2 linked regions of the Anolis sagrei genome follow. The protein of the gene in region 1 binds, or shares a complex with, the protein of each later gene. Links are inferred from orthologs where the notes say so. Each region holds a gene or a part of one and is shown on either strand. Other genes may lie near its edges.

The links. Proteins that work in one complex are often made in the same cells at the same time.
Region 2: LAMTOR5 (region 1) and LAMTOR2 share a complex: the UniProt entries of both Homo sapiens proteins name them as parts of the ragulator complex. The link is inferred for Anolis sagrei from reciprocal best matches to the Homo sapiens genes LAMTOR5 and LAMTOR2.

What each region holds. Positions count from the first base shown.
Region 1 is NC_090024.1:183,624,059-183,632,034, forward strand, and holds the start of LAMTOR5 (ragulator complex protein LAMTOR5), read left to right. Parts: upstream 1-4,958; 5' UTR 4,959-5,039; coding exon 5,040-5,074; intron 5,075-6,591; coding exon 6,592-6,653; intron 6,654-6,751; coding exon 6,752-6,869; intron 6,870-7,976. UniProt on the Homo sapiens protein: As part of the Ragulator complex it is involved in amino acid sensing and activation of mTORC1, a signaling complex promoting cell growth in response to growth factors, energy levels, and amino acids.
Region 2 is NC_090032.1:22,562,097-22,569,581, forward strand, and holds the start of LAMTOR2 (ragulator complex protein LAMTOR2), read left to right. Parts: upstream 1-4,452; 5' UTR 4,453-4,543; coding exon 4,544-4,611; intron 4,612-6,372; coding exon 6,373-6,535; intron 6,536-7,485. UniProt on the Homo sapiens protein: As part of the Ragulator complex it is involved in amino acid sensing and activation of mTORC1, a signaling complex promoting cell growth in response to growth factors, energy levels, and amino acids.

The sequences.
Region 1 (7,976 bases):
CTGATGTCTCTACTCTTCACTATTTTATCGAGACTGGACATTGCTCTCCTCCCAAGAAGTAAGCATCTTCTGATTTCCTGGCTACAGTCTGCATCTACTCTAATTAAATAGATGCCTTTGCCACTTCACAATGGGAAATTAACAAAAGCTGCACTATACAAGACATTCAACTATGAATTCTTACTCATTTTACTAGATGAGATTCTCCTGGAAAAGCAGCCATCAGTAGCAAATTAATTACAATCTGAAAAATCAATCTTGTGATGGCCCTAAGTGTGGAGAATACAGAGTTTGAATAGCTAGATTAAGGGACAGAATTTCATCTTTTAGGTCCCAGAGGAAATTAGATTATTGATGCTGCGGGCTATCTTGGCAATCACATTTCTTCATCGCTCTTGCAAAGCAAAAACATGGTTTCTACCATATTGAGTGAGTGAGATATTACTGTTAAATGGTGTCAAGTAGATCAAAGATGGACTAAATGCAAGTTAATAAAGTTGAGTACAGATCAGACAAATGGTGGTAGCCTGAGTAAATCAATTGCATAAGAAAATTACTTTGAATGGAATGGGCACCAGAATGAAACTCAGACTCAATTTGATCATACATGATCTTGACTAATTTTGGAAGCTAAATATCAGCTCTATTTACACTAACCATTTAATGCAGTTCCAGACTGGCATTGAAGAAAGTGGTTTAACTGTGCAGATAATTACATAGGAACCCATTTGAGGACTGAAGGATGATCACACAAAACACAAAGAACGGATGCCAGAATTGGACTGGATGGCTTTGTGTTCACTTCCAACTAGGATTCTACAAGTTGCCTCCAGCTCTAGCATTTGTGATCCCTGTCCGCCTGAAATGATGATGGAAATTTCTCCCTTGTTCATAGCTCTAGATCTACAAAACGACAAATCTTTATTTTCTCCAAGTAATTAGGAGCAGTTCTCGCTTTGGCTCTGCATTGCTATGACAGATGGGGCCGTGTGCATCTCGCATCTCTATGAGTCATTGGAAGTACCAAGAGAGACATCATTCCTTTTCTCCTGACGGCCTCATTGGGGAAAGAGTGCTGATGTGCCGAAATGGACGTGGCATTTGATTTAAAGGTGCAGCATCCAGCACTCCATTCCAATCATCACATATGGCTCTAAGAGCCAGAAAGATGGGTCTGTACCAAAGTACGTGTTGGAATCTAGTTTTGGAAGTTTGTCAAATATTTTTCAAAGAAGGTGGGGGGGGGGGGCAGTATGTACAAAATAAGAAAATGAGAGTAAATGCACACAACTGATTAGATGCCCACATTCCTGACACAAGTAGAAAATATGTGTTTTTAAAAACATACAAAGATTATTATATCATAGTGATAATTATATCATAAAATCTGAAACAATCAGACAATTTAAGATATAAAGCTCCTTACTCATTTGGGGATGGAACTATGAATTTCAAAAATTATATGAATATGCTGTTCCTTTTGTACCTGCTCATAAATGAGGCAAAGGGATCCTGAATGATATAACATGTTCTAATGACTGAAACCCCATCTACATTAACTTATGATAAAGTTTCAAACTGTATTGTATGGCAGTGTAGATGGGACCACTGTTCTCAAATTACACTATGTAACAAAATTTGAGAAATTTTCTGTTCCTGGCTTGAAAGTGCTATTTCCTGTTTAATTGTGCAGTATTTACATTGAAAGTAGTTGTTATACTCCGGAAACTATGTTGAATTGGTTGAGACTTGATACAGAACCATAGAATCCTTGAACTGGAAGAGACCTCATGGGCCATCCAGTCCAACCCCCTGCCAAGAAGCAGGAAAATAGCATTCAAAGCACACCTGACAGATAGCCATCCAGCCTCTGTTTAAAAGCCTCCAAAGAAGGAGCCTCCACCACACTCTGGGGCAGAGAGTTCCACTGCTGAACAGCTCTTCAATCATTGAAAAACTACAGCAAATGTGCTGCAGGATGACCTGCCAAAACAAAGTTTTTGCAGTTTAATAAACCTTTTCCATTTTTTATGATAGAACCAATTAAGAAATGACATTTATAACCCAGGTACAAAGTGTTATCAAAGCAATTCCTAATTCAAGCTGGAACTGCACTTTTTGGAAGACGAGTTGAGTATTCCGCATTCTTTATTTATTTCATGTCAAAAGAATTGCATAACTAAGTATAAAACTGATAAAAACAGAGGGTACACAAGTGGTTAAATAATTTTTGACCAAAAACAGGCAACAGCGACCACATTGCCTGTAGCTTTAAACAATTCTTCCTCTGTGCATGTGACAGGGCATTGTGGACAAGCATACAGATGCAGAGTCGTTTGTTCTGTTCCAGTCACACAAGGTGGATTCTTCTAGGCCAGTGGTTCTCAACTTTCCTAATGCCACGACCCCTTAGTACAGTTCCTCATGTTTTGGTGACCCCCAATCATAAAATTAATTTTGTTGCCACTTCACAACTGTAATTTTGCTATTATTATGAATTATACTGTAAATATCTGATATGCAGAATATATTTCCATTCATTAGACCAAATTTAGCACAAATACCCAATACACCCAAATTTTAGTATGGGTGAGGGGAGGTTGGAAGGGATTGATTTTGTCATTTGGGAGTTGTAGTCACTGGGATTTGTAGTTCACCCACAATCAAAGAGCATTCTGAACTCCATCAATGATGGAATTGAACCAAATTTGGCACACACAAGTCCCATGACCAGCAGAAAATGCTGGGTTTGGTGGGCATTGACCTTGAGTTTTGGAGTTGTAGTTCACCTATATCCAGAGAGCACTGTGGATTCAAATAAATGATGAATCTGGACCAAATTTGACACAGATACTCAATATGCCCAAAGGTGAACACTGGTGGAGTTTGGGGAAAATAGACTTTGACATTTGGGAGTTGTAGTTGCTGTGATTTATAGTTCACCTACAAAGAGCATTCTGAACCCCACCGACGATAGAATTGGGCCAAACTTCCTACACAGAACCCCCATGTCCAATGAAAATACTGTGTTTTCTTATGGTATTTGGCGACCCTACTGACACCCCTCGCGACCCCTCAAGGGATCCCGACCCTCAGGTTGAGAAACACTGTTATACGTGGTGCCATTTTGCCAGGTTGTCTTTATATCTGCCTGCCCCATTTCTAAGACTCTTCAGAGACTTCCAAGTTGCCCATTCTTGATTTGCTCCTGGAGGAAGACCCTCGGGGGGGGGGGGGCATCCAGTTGGAATTGCCTGATTTTGAAACCCAGAGGGATACTCTTGCTGTTGCTGGGGAAATGTTAAGAAGAGTGGTGGTTCTCATGAATCCTCTCACTGATTTGAGTCTACTGGAAGGAGGTTGATAGCCATGCAGAGGATGGCTTTCAGTGTTCAACCTCACAGTTAGGAGCAACTTTCCATCGCACATCAGGGGGTGGAGGGGGGGGCAATGTCAGCTAGCTTTTAGAGTTTATCAACAGGTGTAGGTTTAAGATATCCTGTGATTATTCTGCATGTTTTATTCAGTGCTGTATTCACCTGCGTCGCGTATACAGACTTGTGCAAAACTGGGCAGGCATACTCAGCCGATTCTGCGTTCTACATGCTTGGTACCAGAAGTGCTTTGGAGGATGATAATGATTGTGGAATACCTTTAAACATAATGGAACTGAAGACTAAATGCAAATTCCATTTATGTTTCATATATGCCTTATATGCATAGCGCTCTACGTGGGGTTGCCTTTGAAGACTGTTCAGAAACTTCAAATTGTCCAGCGGGCGGCAGCCAGGTTGCTAACTGTAGCAGTGCTCAGGTAGCACACAACTCCTGTTACGCCAACTCCACTGGCTACCAATTTGCTACCGGGCACAATTCAAAGTGCTGGCTTTACCCTATAAAGCCCTAAATTGTTCCAGCCCAGCTTACCTGTCTGAATGTATCTCTCCCTATGAACCATCTAGGAACTTAAGATTGTATGGGGAGGGCCTGCTCTCAATCCTGCCTTCTTTGCCTTTGGCGGGGATGAGGGACAGGGCCTTCTCAGTGGTGGCCCCTCGGCTGTGGATCTCCCTCTCTAGGGATATTAAAACCTAGCTCTTTGAATAAGCCTGGAAGTGCAGTGCAATAGACAAGCACGGAAGTGCAGTGCAATAGACAAACACGGAAACATGGAAAGACTTAGACGATGCTACTGGAGAGTGAGATTAACAGGAAGACATTGGTTATTATATGTTTTTAAAGGTTATTGTATTGATTTTATAATGATGTTTTCAATGTTTTAATTGTATATTGTGGATTGTGATGGCATCGAATTGCTGTCAATTTGTAAGCCGCCTTGAGTCGCCTTCAGGCTTGAGAAAGGTGGAAGAGAAATATCATAAATAAATAAATAATAGCTTGAAATTAATTTCATACACTGTATTTTAAAATAATTTGGGGAACGAAACAAAGTGTGTGCCTATTGAACTCACAGCAGCCATTTCCTTTCCAACACGTTATGCACTTGACAAAGAGTTGTTACTTAAGGGGGCCTCTACACTGTTGAATTAATGCAGTTTGACACCACATTTAACTACCATGGCTATGGAATCCTGGTAGCAGTAGTTTGGTCAAACAGCAGCTCTCTTTGGCAGAGAAAGACCTTGCAAAACTACAATTCCCATAGTTTCATAGCACTGGGCATGCATGGGGTGTCGAACTGCATTAATTCCACAGTGCAGAAGCAGCCTATGTTTGTGGACCACTTTCCTTACACATATAGTAAATACAATGAGAGGGAGATCGTGACAAGAAAAGACCAAAGCTGATCCAGCTTAACAAGAAGAGGAAGAAAAATGCCTTCAATCCGCAAAATGAAGTCTACAAAAACACTCCCCACCTCCCGCTGGGCGGAAATGTTTACTGCGCAGGCGCGTCCGACTCTCGAAGAATTCCGAACCCAACGAGCCGCCGTCCACTCGCTGGCTGGTCACGTGGACACAAGTCAGCTGACAAGGAAGAGCTGGTGTTTTGCGGAAGAGGCTCAGTCGGTCGGCGAGATGGAAGGCGCACTTGAGCACCATTTGGAAGACACGTAAGCCTGGAGTTCGCAGTGCCCATCAGCACTATGGACTGGGGACGGGCATGCCATTCGAGCCCTGCTCCCAGGAAGCTTAGAGTGCATCTTCACTATAGAACTAACGCAGTTTGGGGTCATTCTAACTAACTTTGGTGAGGCACCAGCCCTCTTTGCAGAGAAGGCTAAGAGGCCATGGCAGCTAAAGTGGTGTCAAACTGCATTAATTCTAGTGTAGATCAGGCGTGGGCAAACTTGGGCCCTCCAGGTGTTTTGGACTTCAACTCCCACCATTCCTCACAGCCTCAGGCCCCGTTCTGAAGCGGCTGAGGGGGAAAAGGAAAGGGCCTGAGGCTGTTAGGAATAATGGGAGTTGAAGCCCCATGAGGAGCGGCCTAAAGAGCTGGGCATGTTTAGCCTGCAGAAGAGAAGGCTGAGAGGAGATACGATAGGCATATATAACTATGTGAGAGGAAGTCATAGGAAGGAGAGAGCAAGCTTGTTTTCTGCTGCCCTGGAGACTAGGACATGGAACAATGGATTCAAACTACAAGAAAGTTGGTCCATCTGAACATGAGGAAGAACTTCCTGACTGTGAGAAATATTCAGCAGTGGAACTCTCTGCCACAGAGTGTGGTGGGGGCTTCTTCGTTGGAGGCTTTGAAACAGAGTCTGGATGGCCATCTGTCGGAGGTGCTTTGAATGAAATATTCCTGCTTCTTGGCAGGGGGTAGGCTGGATGGCTCATGAGGTCTCTTCCAATTCTATGATTCTAAGTCCAAAACACCTGGAGGACCCATGTTTGTCCATGCCTATGCTAAAGGAGCCCACCCTCATGTCCTGCTGTATCCTCTTGTATGATTCATGCGGAGATGAGCATGCTAACCTCTTCTCCATAGAAGTGGATGGAGGAGGGACAGACTTCATAGCTATTACAGCTCAAAATCAGGGTACAGCCGACTGGCTGCTCTCTGTATCAAGAAGCCCAGACTCTCTGCACAGGATGCATGCAGACAGGGAGGGGGTTACATCAGCTTGCCATGTGGGAGCCACTCCACGCTCTGCCCCCCCCCCCCCCACCAGTTTGCACACACCACCGCCGTGGAAAATTACACAACCTGCCAATAGGGAGCCCCACACACTGCAAGGAACAATTTCGCGAGGTGCATCAACACTCTGGACTGGATGCAGCTTGACACTACGTTTCCTGCTATGGGATCTTGGGAGTTGAAGTTTGGCAGGGCTTGTAGACAACATTAAAGCATGGCAGTGGATGCGGTGTCAAAACAGTGGATGCACTCCAGCAGCAAGGAATGGGAGGAACGGTGCGAGTTGAAGTCCAAAAGTCCAAAACACCTAGAGAGACCAAGTTTGCCCGTGCCTGGTGTAGATGTAGCCCAACAATCAGGCACTATACCACACTATCACTCTCCTCTAGGGACCAATTCTTATTATATGCTTATTATTGTTGCTTTTTCGTTGTTCTGTCCCACCTGCTGGATGTTTCTGATCCCTTCTGTCTCCTCCTTTCCTAGAATGAAGAATCCCTCCATTGCAGGAGTCCTGTGCACTGATTCCCAGGGACTGAATCTGGGCTGTAAGTATTTTGGAAACTCTCTTTCAGTCCAAGTGAACTGTCCTGTATTTTTAAAACTAATTTATTTTCCTTTTCAACTATCGATCATTACCTTCTAGGTCGTGGCACTCTCTCAGATGAACATGCAGGTGTGATATCGGTTCTAGCCCAGCAGGCAGCCAAATTAACAAATGATCCCACAGATATCCCTGTAGTGTGCCTTGAGTCAGATACTGGGTAAGTGTGCTCTGTTACTTACCTACTTCACCTCATTGCATAAATTTGTTGGAACTCAGCCAAGTCCTGCACAGGTTTATAGTCCTCATCAAGTTAATAAGATAGGTAGATGAGTTAGCAGGCAGGGAAAGCTCTTCCCCCATTGCTTTGTCTTCCCCTCTCTCTCGTTTTCTCCTATTAGTTTGTTAGACTGATGCTTCTCAGGGACACACCTCTTTTTATTCAAAGTTTCTAGCCACATGCAAGCCCCCCCCCCCCCTCCAAGTCCTCCAATTTTTTTCTTCTGTCAGCATGAAGAGAGACAAGATGCATGCAGAGATAGGTAAGTTAGATAGCTAGGCCCTAACTTTACTATATAGAAATGTAGTTCTTTGAAATGTAGTTCTTTTATAACTTGACTCTCTTCCTGTATTTATGAAACTCATTTTCCCTACAGCTATGCACAAGAAGCTTCTGATCTGCTAAAAACTACTGCTGTTGCTTTACCATTGCATATGCTTTTTCATTTTTGAAATTACCCAACAAAATTACTTTCTGATGGATTGATATGTGTAACCTGGTAAACATTTGCTGCTCTTTAGCTTTCATGTCACACACAAGGAACAATTTCTGCATCTGGTCTTTGTTTCTTAGAGACATAGGACATCAGATTATTTTAGCTGAGTGCTTCCATCAGCCCCACAGAGCATGGAAATTATTATTTTTCCTTTTTTTTACATGTTAGGAGCAACTTGAGAAACTTCTGGTGTGAGAGAATTGGCTGTCTGCAAGGACATTGTCCAGGGGACGCCCTGGTGTTTTGATGTTTTACCATCCTTGTGGGAGGTTTCTCTCATCATTAATGAAGTTTAACAAAGATGTTGCTCTCCATCATATACTTACTTGAGCATGCTATGGATGTAGGTTGGTAGGGTACAATCTTTCTAAATAAAGGAACCTTATGGTTTTTAACTTTTAATATGTTTTAATGGTTTTTAACTGGGAATTTTTAATATTGTTTATATTTAATCCTGTTTTAATTTTTGCACATTGGTATATTTTAAATTGTATGCTAATGCTCTACATTGAGCAGCTTTGAGACTCCTTTAGGAGAGATAAAGCAGAGTA
Region 2 (7,485 bases), on another chromosome or scaffold:
CTGAACCATCCAAAGACAACCAATCCCAATTGGAAGTTAAACCGGAATCAAAGTGGTATAACTGTCCAGTGTGGAAAGAAGAATGAATGAATGAATGAATATATATATATATATATACACACACACACACACACACACACACACACACACATTTCTTTCCTACCCAAACAGCAGGCTTTTAATGTAATATCTTCCTTGAATTTTTGATTTAATATCTTATTAATATTATTATTATTATTATTTTGGGATCTTTCAATGGTTTCTCTTTTGCAAAACACGCATGCAAATCCTTCTCTTCAACCCAAACACACATTTAACATTAATTAACATTCATAATTAATATTAGAAATTCATGCACCGAGTTTGTTCATAGGCTTCCGAGGATCGTGCCACTAGCTTTAAAGTGGTTTCAAACTGGGTTAATTCCACCGTGTGGACGCTTAAACTGCTGAGCTGCTGAACATGCTGACCAAAATGTAGGCGGCTCGAATCCAGCGAGTGGGGTGAGCTCCCACTGTTAGCCCCAGCTTCTGCCAGCCTAGCTGTTCAATAATATTTTCACAAATCCCGATGACATCTAGACTTATTATTATTATTATTAGGCCGCCCAGTAGCGCAGCGGGTTAAACTGCTGAGCTGCTGAACTTGCTGACCAAAACGTAGGCGGCTCGAATCCAGCGAGTGGGGTGAGCTCCTGCTGTTAGCCCCAGCTTCTGCCAACCTAGCAGTTCAGAAACATGGAAATGTGACATTGATTGATTGATTGATTGATTGACTCTAAGCTGCACCAGTTGCTATGGAATTCCACGCAACGGGACTCCGGCCATGTTTTCCTTTTATGACATCACATAAAAGTCTTGATCTGTGGCAGTCGGGCCCCGATCGGGCCTTTGCCATGCAGGGCCTGCCGTGGTGTGGGCTCCTGTGGTTCTTCTGCCGGCCTGCTTGGGCCGCCCGACACATAGTGGACAAGCCGGACAACTCCGCTGCCGGGCTGAGCTGGGGGAACGTGGTCGTGATCTTCGCTGTGGTCTTCCTCTTGGCTTTGGGTGTCAAGTGGCTGCGGGACAGGATCCTCGCCGAAGGGGCCAACAAAGCAAAGGTGATTCCTGGGTGGCCTCCCTCCCTCCTCCTGGGGTATCCGCACCGGGTTTTAGTCTGAACTTTACGAGCCCTAACGATGGTGCTTGTAACCGTACTGTATGCTTTGAGAAATAAAGCCTTTCCAGACTGTCTTTGAGGTAATTTCTTCTCTGCAGATGAGGACTATCCTCATCATCTTGCCTTTCCTTGCCGCTCGAGGCAGGGTATGTCAGAGTTCAGACGTTGCCCAGCGGAAGGAAGGCTAGATCAGCAGACACTGAGTTGCAAAATCAGGACTCCGCAGGCTTTGAGTTACAAAAGAAACTAAGTTTACTAAGCACATTCCACAGACACGTCTTACTACAGCGAGCTACAATTCAGGAAGTAGTACGGTTACAAGCAAAGTTCCATCTGACAGTTGCTTTCCTTCTCAACCCATATAGAGATATATGGGTTGAGAAGGAAAGCAACTGTCAGATGGAACTTTGCTTGTAACCGTCCCCTTCACAGCCCTATTTCTCTGTGGTTCACCTGGGCCCCCAAGTCCTTCTCTACGGGTGTTGCAATCCCACCTGGGCCCCCAACTGAGTGCCCTCTTTGCCCCCGTGTCCAGGAGGGCTGTCTGTCCGGCGAAGAGACCCTGGAGTGCCGTCTCTGCCAGAGCTTCTCCCAGATGGAGCAGGAGCTGGTCAAGCAGGTGACGCTGGTGCGCAACCTCAAGGCCGACCTCTCCTCGCGCCACAGCACCTGCACGGTCCCCGGGTGCCAGCGGGGTCAGCGGAGCCGCAGCGGCAGCAGCATCGGAGCCTTTAACCTGGTGGTCTACGACGTGGCCGAGGAGAAATGAGGACACAATACCAGCATGAGAAAGCAGCCAAGTGGCGTCCGTTGCTTCTTACCCTTTACTTGGGGGAGGGTTCTAGACCAAATGTGTCAGAATAAATATTTATTTATTTATTTATTTATTTACAGTATTTATATTCCGCCTTTCTCACCCCGCAGGGGACTCAGGGCAGATCACAATGCACGTATACATGGCACATCTTCGATGCCACACAACATATATAGAGAGAGATACAGAGGCTATTTACACCTAATAGGCAGTAAGAGCACCTAAAGCTTCTGAGAGCTTCTGTTCAACCATCTCAAAGCTCCCTGCTTGGGCGGTGGTGGCACGATCGTCAGCATAGATGAAACTCTCCATCCCTTCTGGCAGTGGCTGGTCATTTGTGTAAATGTTAAACATGAGGAACTGTATTTAGAGGCAATAAGAAGACTGAGAAGTCCGAGAGCTTCTGTTCAATCATTGCAAAGCTCCCTGCTTGGGCAGTGATGGCATGATCGTCAGCGTATATTAAACTCTCTGTCCCTTCTGGCAGTGGCTGGTCATTTGTGTCAATGTTAAACATGCATGGGAGCAGGCCGTTCTTCAGTTTCTGCCATCTGCTTCTCTGGCCCTGGAACTCAACAAAAAAGCTCCTGTTTTGTAGCAGATTTCCTATGAAGTCCTTTTTTATATTCTATGTTCTTCTCTGCATTTTATATGGAATAGAAATCAGTCAATTTTCCCTGTAATAGACAGTAAGAGCACTTAAAGCTTTGGAGAGCTTCTGTTCAACCATTACAAAGCTCCCTGTTTGAGCGGTGATGGCATGATCGTCAGCGTATATCAAACTCTCTGTCCCTTCTGGCAGTGGCTGATCATTTGTGTCAATGTTAAACACGAGGAACTGTATTAAGAGGCATTAGGAAGGTTGAGAAACACTGACCTAAATCTTCGGAGAGCTTCTGTTCAACCATTACAAAGCTCCCTGCTTGAGTGGTGATGGCACGATCATCAGCATAGATGAAACTCTCTCTCCCTTCTGGCAGTGGCTGGTCATTTGTGTAGATGTTGAACATGGATGGGGCAAGCACGCTCCCCTGAGGCAGGCCGTTCTTCTGTTTCCGCCACCTGCTCCTCTGGCCATGGAACTCAACAAAAAAGCTCCTGTTCGGTAGCTGATTTCCTTGAGTGGTGATGGCACGATCGTCAGCATAGATGAATCTCTCTGTCCCTTCTGGGAGTGGCTGGTCATTTGTGTAGATGTTGAACACGAGGAACTGTATTAAGAGGCATTAGGAAGGTTGGGAAACACTGAGCTAAGGCTTCGGAGAGCTTCTGTTCAACCATCTCAAAGCTCCCTGCTTGAGCGGTGATGGCACGATCATCAGCATAGATGAAACTCTCTGTCCCTTCTGGCAGTGGCTGGTCATTTGTGTAGATGCTGAACATGGATGGAGCGACTCGCTCCCCTGAGGCAGGCCGTTCTTCTGTTTCCGCCATCTGCTTCTCTGGCCCTGGAACTCAACAAAGAAGCTCCTGTTTTGTAGCAGGTTTCCTATGAGGCGGGTGAGGTGGTCGTCCTTTGTGATACTATACATTTTTCTCAGGAGGAGGCAGCGGTGGTTCACAGTCTCATAGGCTTCTGACAGGAGGTGGTGAAAATCAGGGAGGAATAAAGCCAGGCAGTTCAGGTGCCGCTCTAGGCCCCGCTCCTCGTCTTCTCTCCATTGTCTATATGAGGGAGAGGAAAAGAGACGGGCGGGCTAGAGCGGAGCGGAAGTGTTGCCTGCCGGAAGTGTCCGTCTGGAGAGGAGACTCCATTTCCCGGCGTGCCCCGCGGGATTGTGAGGGAGGGAGGGAAGAAGACAGCCAAACCATAGAGATCTCAAAGCCCGGCCCTTCAGGTACCGCTCTAGGCCTCACCCCTCGTCTTCCCTCCATTGTGTATCTATGTAGATAAGAGAGAGAGGCGCGCGGGCTAGAGCGGAGCGGAAGTGCTGCCTACCAGAAGTGTGGGTGTGGAGGGGAGACTCTAAGGAGGGCGACAGCGGCGGCCATGCAGTTCAGGTCCTGCTCTAGGCCCCTCGCCTCGTCTACCCTCCATTGTCTATATGGGAGAGGAAAAGAGACGGGCGGGCTAGAGCGGAGCGGAAGTGCCTGCCTGCCGGAAGTGTCCTTGTGGAGAGGAGACTCCATTTCCCGGCGTGCCTCGCGGGATTGTGAGGGAGGGAGGGAGGGAAGAAGACAGCCGAACCATAGAGATCTCAAAGCCCGGCCCTTCAGGTGCCGCTCTAGGCCTCACCCCTCGTCTTCCCCCCATTTGTGTATCTATATAGATAAGAGAGAGAGGCGCGCGGGCTAGAGCGGAGCGGAAGTGCTGCCTGCCGGAAGTGTGGGTGTGGAGGGGAGACTCTAAGGAGGGCAACAGTGGCGGCCAGGCAGTTCAGGTGCCGCTCTAGGCCCCTCGCCTCGTCTACCCTCCATTGTCTATATGGGAGAGAAAAAGAGACGCGCGGGCTAGAGCGGAGCGGAAGTGCTGCCTGCCGGAAGTGTCCGTGTGGAGAGGGGACTCCAAGGCCTGGCCTTCTCCTCCTCTTCCTCCTCCGGGTTCTCCTCCTTCTCCTTCCGAGAGCGATGCTTCGCCCGAAGGCGCTCACGCAGGTCCTGAGCCAGGCCAACACCGGCGGCGTGCAGAGCACCCTGTGAGTGTCTCCCTCGATTAGCTAGGCCTCACTTCCGGCCTCTCTAGGAACGCCTCTCCCTCCATTCGCAGAGGCCTAGTCCTCACAACAAGAGTCATAATAGTCATAATAATAATAATAATAATAATAATAATAATAATAATAGAATCCTTCCCTTCTATCATCATAATAATACTAATAAGAGTGGGAGTGAAGGAGCCAGCCCCCACTTCCGGTGTGGCTTGGACTACATCTCCCAGAATCCCCTCTGCCTTGTCACCCTCCTCCTCCTCTTGGGCTTCTTGGGGGCCAAAGTTAGGATCACTTGACTGTATCTATCCACAAGGGAAACATATTATTATAATAGTATTGCTATTATATTATTTACTATTATTATATTGTATATTTGCAAGGGGAGGAGTATATTAGTATTTTATTATTACTATTACATTATTATATTATATATGTAAAAGGGAAGAATTACAGTATTATTATTATTATTATTATATTGCGGTATATATTCGCAAGGGAAGTAGTATATTATTATTATATTACTATTGCTATGACATTATTATATTGTATGTGTACAAGGGAAGTATTACATTATTATTATTATTATTATTATATTACTGTATATATTTGCAAGGAAGTAGTATATTATTATATTACTATTATATTACTATTACATTATTATTATTATATTACTGTATATATTTGCAAGGAAGTAGTATATTATTATATTACTATTATATTACTATTACATTATTATTATTATATTACTGTATATATTTGCAAGGAAGTAGTATATTATTATATTACTATTATATTACTATTACATTATTATTATTATATTACTGTATATATTTGCAAGGAAGTAGTATATTATTATATTACTATTATATTACTATTACATTATTATTATTATATTACTGTATATATTCACAAAGGAAAGATGATATTATTATATTATTATTGTTATTATATTATTTACTATTATTATATTATATATGTAAAAGGGAAGAATTACAGTATTATTATTATTATTATTATATTACGGTATATATTCGCAAGGGAAGTAGTATATTATTATTATATTACTATTACGTTATTATATTGTATGTGTACAAGGGAAATATTACATTATTATTATTAGTATTATTATATTACTGTATATATTCACAAGGGAAACATTAGTATTGTTATTATATTATATATGTACATGGGGAGAATTACATTATTATTATTATTATTATTATTACATTATGGCATATATTTGCAAGGGAAGTAGTATATTATTATTACATTACTATTGCTATTACATTATTATATTGTATGTGTACAAGGGAAATATTACATTACTGTATATATTCACAAGGGAAACATATTATTATATTAGTATTGTTATTATATTATTTACTATTATTATATTATATGTGTACAAGGGAAGAATTGCATTGGTATTATTATATTATGGTATATATTCACAAGGAAAGTAGTATATGATTATTATAATATTATATTACTATTACTATCACATTATTATATCATACAATATATGTAAAAGGGAAGTATTATATTAATTTATTTACAACATTTATGTCCCGCCCTTCTCACCCTGATTGGACTCAGAGCGGCTTACAAGTTATTTGTACATACAAGATAGTATATTATTATCATAACAAAATATAAGTAGTATATATTACTATATAGTACTATATGTTGTTATTATTATTATTGCAGTTATTATTGTGATGCTATTATTATTCTGATTATTGTTCCCAGGCTGCTGAACAACGAGGGCTCGCTGCTGGCGTACTCGGGGTACGGGGACACGGACGCGCGGGTGACGGCAGCCATTGCCAGCAACATCTGGGCCGCTTACGACAAGAACGGCCACCAGGCCTTCAACGAGGACCACCTCCGCTTCATCCTCATGGACTGCATGGTGCGCACGCCGGGGCATGACTCCTCAGAATCATAATAGCAATAATAATAATAATAATAGCAATAATAAGGGTCTCAGAAGCAGGATGATAACAATAACAATGCATTTCTCAAAAGCAGGATGATGATAATAATAAGGTTCTCAGAAACAGGATAATAATAATAATAATAATAATAATAATAATAATAATAATAATATTTTTTTATTTATCTTGTCAGGAGCAACCAGATTATTATTATTATTATTATTATTATTATTATTAATAATAATGATCTCATATGCAGGGTAATAATAATATGGTTCTCAAAAACAGTATCATAATAAAAATACTCAAAAGCAAATAATTATTATTATTTATTTCTAGTATTTGTACCCCGTCTCTGAATTTTATTTTATTATACATTATTATATTACTGTACGTATTCTCAAGGGAAGTAGTATATTATTATTATATTATTATATTACTATTACATTATCATATTATATATGTACAAGGGAAGTAGTATATTAGTATTACTATTATAGTACTGTACATATTAGCAAGGGAAGTAGTATATCATTATTATATAATTATATTACTATTACATTATTATATTATTTAGGTACAAGGGAAGTAGTATATTAGTATTTTATTATTATATTACTATTACTATTGCATTATTGTATTATGTATGTAGAAGGGAAGTATTACATTATTATTATTATATTACTGTACATATTTGCAAGGGAAGAAGTATATTATTATATTATTATATTACTATTACATTATTATATTGTATGTGTACATAAACAAGGCCGCTACCATCACAATTACAATAATATAAACACAATCAAATACAAACATCATCATAATAATATTCTTGAAGCAGGATGATAATAATAATAATAATAATAATAATAATAAGGTTCTTGAATCTGCATAAGAATAATAGTAATAATAATAAGGTTCT